2 linked regions of the Sus scrofa genome follow. The protein of the gene in region 2 purifies or fractionates together with the protein of the main gene of each other region. This does not show direct contact. Links are inferred from orthologs where the notes say so. Each region holds a gene or a part of one and is shown on either strand. Other genes may lie near its edges. The genes, in order: HADHA and NIPSNAP2.

Region 1 (3,819 bases), about 96 Mb from region 2:
TTTTTTTTTTTTGCCTTTTCTTGGGCTGCTCCCGCAGCATATGGAGGTTCCCAGGCTAGGGGTCGAATCGGAGCTGTAGCCACCAGCCTACGCCAGAGCCACAGCAACGCAGGATCCGAGCCATGTCTGCGACCTACACCACAGCTCATGGCAACGCCGGATCGTTAACCCACCGAGCAAGGGCAGGGACCGAACCTGCAACCTCATGGTTCCTAGTCGGATTTGTTAACCACTACGCCATGACGGGAACTCCTAAAAGTTATTTTCTTTTCCCCTTCTTTCCTACATGCTCCAATCTGGTAGGCCTCTCTTCTCTCAAACCTTGTCTTTCCATCTTTACTACTCACAAAACGCTCGACGTATATCATGCATCATGTGTCTCAACTAGACTTGAGCAGCTCAAGAGCATGAATCACACTTCTGAATCTTTGCCCTGCAAACTTGAAGAAGCTTTTCTAGAACTGAAAGAGACCTTAGAGATCTAGTTCAAACCTTCTCAATTTATAAATGAAAACATGACACTTTGATTCACGTGCTCGGTGTCATGAGAGTAAGGATTAAAACCTATCTAGAAGTTTGATAATTAAAAAAAAGCTGATTCTTCCTCAACAACTTCTCTAAGGCAAAATAGTAGCCTAAAGGTTTGCAGCTGGTGAATCCAACAGTAGTCTGGACTGTATCACAATGGCTTTAGAATAAACGTGTACCTCAAGTCCTCCTCCTAAGCAGGTTCCATTGATGGCAGCCACAATAGGCTTTGTGGACTTCTCAAGTTTCTCAAATGTTCTCTGTGCTTCCTGTGATATTTGCGTTACCTCTTGAGAGGTCGTGCAAGCTGATAACATGCTGTAGAGAACAGAAAAAAAAAAAAAAATGAAACTACAACCTACTTTGTGTAATACTTCATCCACCATATCCTTATCCTATCATATATCAATATTTGGTAGTGAATCTTCTAATATTCAGATGTTTAAGAATGACTTTGCCTCAGATAGCACTAATATCAATGACATCCTCTCTCTATAAAGAGTGTTAAATTTCTGGATTCAGAGAACATGGAGCAAAATAGGCTGCATATTTTTGTTTTGTCAACAAATCACTAGATTACAAAGCTCTGTGCATGAGAAAATCATCTTCTGGTAAATATTTTCATGATCAAACATTTTCACTATCAGGTAGCTTTCAGATTAAATATCAATCGAAGTGACAGAATGGAAAAGCTTCACATTATTTAGACGGATCTAAAACCTTTGAACAGATCTCCTAATGATTAAAAAAGATCTATTACAATATTGTTGTCCTCAATACCTTTAATTTCATTTTGTTTTACTTGCTACTTATTTTGTTTCTGAACACATTTAAGCTGCGGATTTTGTACTTTTCACCAAGCATTTTATATGCTTGGAGTTGCTCAGCTAGCCTCACAGAAGCTGCAAGTATTCACCTGGGGATTTAGCTAGCTATTGCCAGGTACACTAGTGTCTGGCTAGGCTTAAATACCAGAACTAGAGGAAAAAGCACTTGATAGAGACAATTCTGCTTTTTCTAAAAAATAAACATTAAACAAACAGAACATAAATTTCTAATTACTATACATAAACAAAGAAGGAAACACAATAGTGAACAAAGCTTAAAAATATACACACACCTTAAGTACAAATTACTAAACTGATAATGCTGGCTATCAATGCCTAAAATGCAAAGAATAATATAACAAATACCCATACTTTGACAGAATTAACAACTATTAACCTTTTAACCCATTAAACTAAACCCTAAGACATCATTTCTCATTTTTGTAACAAATTGTAAACAAGTTATATACACATATATACATCATTGAAGAAAAAAAGAAAATATTAGTTGTATTGGTAAAGTTCCCTTTGACCTCCTCAAGTTCTACCAGCCACTTCATTTACCCTGAAACAACCTTTTCATGTTTGTACTGTATTCTTCAGATCAACTACATTTTATTTGTATCCATAAATAACACAGAGAAGTACTCATGCACGGTTTAAAAATGTTTATAGGGTTCGAATTGTGGCTCAATGGTAATGAACCCGACCAGTATCCATGAGGATGTGGGTTCCATCCCTGGCCTGGCTCAATGGGTTAAGGATCTGGTATTGCTGTGAGCTGCAGCATAGGTCACAGACGAAGCTTAGATCTGGTGTTGTGGTTGTGGCGCTGGCCAGCAGGTGCAGCTCCAACTGGACCCCTAACCTGAGAACATCCATATGCTACAGGTGCAGCCCTTAAAAAAAAAAGCTTACATAAACTCTATACTATATCAAAATTCTGCAACTTGCTTTTTTTTAAACTTAACATTATGTTTGTTTGCTTGTTTGTTTTTGGCTGCAACTGCAGCATACAGAAATTCATGGGCCACGGATCAAAACCTCTGCCACAGCAGTGACAATGCTGGATCCTCAACCTACTGAGCCACCAGGGAACTCCTTAACATTATGTTTTTGAGTTCTGACATTATGCTGTAGATCTACTTGGGTCCTCTAAACAGCTTTAAGTATTTTATCTTGTGAGTATTCCATGTATACTTATCTATTTTCCTAATGAATAACATTCAGCTTGATTCGAATTCTTCATTATTTTTAAATTACATAGGACTGAACATCTTCATGGATGGGTCCTTAAAAACAGAGGGTGGGATTTCTCTAGCATATATACCTAGAAGAGGTATCACTTCATTATATGATACATGTATTTTCAGTTTTCCTAAATGTTAACAGATTTCTCTCCAAAGTAGCTATAGCAATTTGCATTCCTACTAATATTTAACTTTCTCATTTCCCAAGTCCTTGCTAACATGATATTTTCAAACTTTTTAAATGTTTGCTGGGCTGATGGATTAAAAAAAAAGGGGCTTCTCATTGTTAGTTTTACGGTATTTTTTTTTTTTGTCTTTTTAGGGCTGCACCCATGGCATATGGAAATTCCCAGGTGAGGGGTTGAATTGGAGCTGCAGCTGCCAGCCAATGCCATAGCTATAGCAATGTGGGATCTGAGCCATGTCTGTGACCTACACCACAGTTCATGGCAACACCAGAGCCTTAGACCACTGAGCAAGGCCAGGGATCAAACTCGAGTCCTTCTGGATACTAGTTGGATTCGTTACTGCTGAGCCACAATGGCAACTCCAGTTTTATAGTGTTTTAAATTATATTCAAATATTGCTCCTTGAACTGCTTTCAACCTCTTTAAAGAAAGGGTATATTTGGTCTTATAAGTTTTAAGCAACAAGCCCTTCATTTTTATCAACTTTTTATTATACTCATGAAAATAAAAAAAAACTTTTAGAGAAAATTTACTTCTACCTTATTTTAAAATGAGAAGTGATTAGGCCTAAAAATCATACTATTAGCCAAGATAAAAGGTGACTTCAACTTTCCCAAAACTTACTTGATATCAGCACCTGCAATGAAGCAGCCTGGCTTTGATGAGATAAGGACAGCGCTTCTGATCTGACTGCTAGACCAGACTTCATTCATCACTTCTATGAACTCTGAATGCAGTTCCTGACCCAGAGTATTTACCTGCCAAAGGGACATACATATAAACTAAGAATTTAAATTTAAAGTAACAGATGTGCAAATCACCATCAAATGCTATTTTGATTTAAGCAAATATGCTTACTCAGGAGAAATATATTGCTAAAAGAAAGAGAGACGGGGAAGAAACAGTAGCTGTCTTATTAGGTGCTTGGGCCAAGATTAAGCACCTCTCCCTTTAAATATAGTTCTACTCCAAGGAGGACCTCATATTCCTAAGGAAGGTCATATTCCTAAGAGTTTGAATCATATG
Region 2 (3,819 bases):
AATAGTAGAAAAAGAACATGGGAGAAGAAAGGGCAGAACGTAATGTTTAGGAAGTGGCCCAGGAGGCAGAGGAAGCAGGGGCACGGGTGGGGGGGCTTTAAGGAGGAAGACAGAGCTGGAACACGGTGCGTCTGAAAGCGACCCCAACCCCAACCACCCCAAAGGGCTTCCACGGGGCAGAAGAACCCAGATGAAAGCACACCTGCGTTTCTCCTCAATTCACCCAGCTGAGGGGATCCGGAAGGGAGCACATAATCCCACCCGGGACACACCACCCGGTTTTGTCACCGCTGTCCGGGCACGGTCATGGCAGGATGCTAACGTAACAGAGGTGTCCGAGCGGCGCCCGGTTCCGTGGAGACCTTCCCAGAGTTCGGATGCTAATGTACAGGGAAAGGCAAAGCAGAGAGGCACAATTGCCCCTTACCAGGGAAAAGCTAAAACCGGCACATTCTGGACAGAAATGGATGATGACAAAGTACAATATAGATTCAACAATGGGAGCAAAAAGATATCAAGGGTCCGAAATGGAACCTGTCTATTTGCTGACATCAAGCGATACTATGAAGCGGGTGATCACCACCAGATGCTGAGGCACTAGGACAGGGCGGGTGTGAACAGTTATCAGAGAAAAGCTGGTAACAAAACTCTAATGTCTTTATGACCCACTACAATGGCAAACCACGTGTATTTTTTTGAAGGGTAGCATTTCCTTTTAAAATTAAGATCAGATATTAAATCTACCTGATGTATATGACCCATGAATGTTCAGAAACAGCACAAGACTGATGGGAATCGGGGGTGGGGAAAGATGGATGAAGTGAGGGATACGGACACGGGTTTCCTTTTGGCCACATGACGTGGGCAGGGAGTCAACAACCCAGAACTGGAGCCGTGTGGCCACCGGAAGCCTGCACAGAGCACCCAGGTGAACGGAGGTTGTGAGGTGGGCAGTGCTTGTAGCCAGCCCTTGATGAGCTGGGCAGAACCTCATTATTTGGGCCCCTAAAAACCAGGCAGGAGTTAAGTCTTTATATACTGGAAACAGGAAGCTGCTGAGAGCTCCAGAGAAAAGAAGAAAAACAGGACGAAGGAGGAAACAGAACTCAAGCAGATGGATTTGACAAACTTTAGGGAAGGGCTCATGGTGGGGGCAGGGCAGGGGTACAGGTGCAGCTTCAGGCCCAGGAAGTCAGGAAACGCACCTCACCCGGCCTGGAGAGGGAGGTGGAGAAGGAAACAAGCCAAGAGAAGCAAAGATACACGTCAAATGAAGAAGGCACAGCCCTTGGTGACCGATTAATCACCAAAAACTATGGAAAGAGTCCAGTAGAACCACTCTGAGTGTCACACACAGGGAAGCTGGAAGGGCAGGTGATTCCATATATTGTGTTTGAAGTGAGAACAAGACTTTCGACTAGAAATATGGACAGACAGCCAGGAATGTGAGACAGGAGATGAGGTGATAAAAACAGGGTGGGAAAGGTAATCCAGGGAAACATCAGCGTACAGAAAAACTGCATTTTCTGAGAAGAGATTCAGAAAAAAAGCATCTGCTTTGTATTAAGGGCCTTTTTTTAAAAAATAAAGGCAACCCTGCTGATGTTACATTTCACAAACCACCTCCAAAAGTAAAACAACAAAAGATTTTTGCTTCTGAAAGTTATGCTGGCTCTGGTAACAAAATCATTTGCTTTCTCATGAAAGCAGCAGATGTGAAAGGCTTAAAACAAGCTTGTTAGTTCTGTTTGCTGACAATTTGACCTTTAAAATGCTATTGCTATTATTTAAGGACTGATGCAATTAATTCTCTTTGATCTTAAAGTTTACAAATTCTTTAAGAGCACATGCATTTCATGTCATATGAGAACCTGCTGAAGGGGCTTGCATCCCGGAGGATGGAAGACTTGGGGAGAAATGTTGGCTCTACTGAAACCCATAAGAACGCTCCTGTGGCCTGTTACGCAGGAGTAAAACTGGAAACAGTGGAGGGCCCTGGGGTGTGAGTTCCAGCTCCTAACACTCAGAACCATCTGGAGATGTGGCACATGAAGGTAATAAGCACAGGTAGTCAGCTAGGGCTGCAAAAGGACTCAGGCGCTGGACGAGGAGCTGGGCTGGACTGCCTTGCAAGGGTCCTTCCAACCTCAAGAGCCTAGTAACATTCCGAAGTCTGAGAACCTGGGTGATGTCTTAGCTCTGAATGCGTGCTTGAGATCAAAGCGCCCTTGGCAACCCCACAACAGCGCTCAACTTCAGAGCCTCGAGTGTTCTGCTTTAAGAACAGCTGTGAAAGACCTCACTCTGCTAGCAAGGGTTAGCTCAACGGACAGATATTAAAATCACTCTTTTCCCCCAAGTAAAGGATAGTCTGGTATACACACCAAATTTTGTTGTATGCTTCTAGGCATTCCGGTTTAACATTGTGAACTGAAACAAAAGAAAATTCAACGATAAACTTAGGAACAAAGGGGGAAAAGTCAACTATGAAGCTAGCAAACCTGCCACTCACACTGTAATTTGTACAGACTGCTTGTTTCCTTCTTGGCCAGGAGGTTCGAGTGCGCATCCTTCCTCGGATCGACCTTCCGGACAAACAAGGATTTTAGCCAGCTCTCTTCTCGAAGTCTGTTATTGGAAGACGCCAATTTCCTAAGGAGTAATCAAGCCAAAATGTGAGTATAATCAGAGGTGCAAAGATTTCAGGGTCTTTAGGTTGTGTGGCGCAGTACACTGTTTTCATAAACTCCATCAATCCATTCAGCCAACACACACTCCAGGCACCGCTCTAGAACCCGGGTTACCACAGGTCCGCTTTCCACCCCAACAGCGTGCGCTCCCACGCACAGGAGCAGAGCGTGACAGAAGTGGCTTCCACGGCTCCTGGGGAGCTCACACGTGTCTCTGCGAGTTCCGCCACGTGCTCTTCCCTCCTCCAAGGACATTTCAACCCAGAAAAAACATACATGGAAACCTGGAATTGTGAGATTCACAGAAAAAGAAGGTAGAACGGTGGTTGCCAGGGGTGGAGTTATTATTCGATGGATACAGAGTTTCAGTCTGGGAAGATGAAAAGGTTCTGGAGATGGTGGTGGTGGTGGTGGTGGCTGCACAACTCTGGGAATGTACTTAATGCCACTGAAGTGTGCACTTAAAAACGGCTAAAATGGCAGAGTTCCCACTGTGGCGCGATGGGATCGGCAGTGTCTTGGTGCCGTTGAGATGCAGATTCTATCCCTGGCCCGGCACAGGGGCTTAAGGATCTAAGATCCTTAGATCCCCACTGCGTCTTGGATCTGATCCCTGGCTTGGGAACTCCATATGCCATGGGGCAGCCAAAAACAACAACAAACACTCCCCCCAAAAGAAAAATGGCAAATTTTATATGTACTTTACCACAATATAAAATGTGAGAAGAAATATACAGAGAAAGTGAAATGACATTTTTTCTTTAAAAATCAAGATTTATTTTTTCTTGTTTCTTTTTTTTCTTTTTAAGGCCACACCTGAAGCATATGGAAGTTCCTGGGCTTGGGGTTGAATCGAACCTGCAGCTGCAGGCCTACACCACAGCCATAGCAACACCAGACCCAAGCTGCATCTGCAATCTACACCACAGCTTGAGGCAACATGGAATCCTTAACCCACTGAGTGAGGCCAGAGATTGAACCCATATCCTGACACTATGTCAGGTTCTTAACTCACTGAGCCACCAACAGGAACTCCCTCTTTCTTTCTTTTTCTTCCTTCCTTCCTCCCTCTCTTTTCTTTCCTTTCTTTCTTCCATCCCTTCCTTCCTTTTTATTTTAGGGCCGCAGA

What was found.
Region 1: the proteins of NIPSNAP2 (region 2) and HADHA purify together in Homo sapiens (affinity purification with mass spectrometry; 3 studies listed by BioGRID and IntAct, with this or other methods). This does not show direct contact. The link is inferred for Sus scrofa from reciprocal best matches to the Homo sapiens genes NIPSNAP2 and HADHA.

Annotation. Positions count from the first base shown.
Region 1 is NC_010445.4:112,759,670-112,763,488, reverse strand, and holds part of HADHA (trifunctional enzyme subunit alpha, mitochondrial), read right to left. Parts: intron 3,552-3,819; coding exon 3,418-3,551; intron 847-3,417; coding exon 708-846; intron 1-707. UniProt on the Homo sapiens protein: Mitochondrial trifunctional enzyme catalyzes the last three of the four reactions of the mitochondrial beta-oxidation pathway.
Region 2 is NC_010445.4:16,928,100-16,931,918, forward strand, and holds part of NIPSNAP2 (protein NipSnap homolog 2), read right to left. Parts: intron 2,653-3,819; coding exon 2,513-2,652; intron 2,431-2,512; coding exon 2,385-2,430; intron 1-2,384. UniProt on the Homo sapiens protein: Protein involved in mitophagy by facilitating recruitment of the autophagy machinery required for clearance of damaged mitochondria.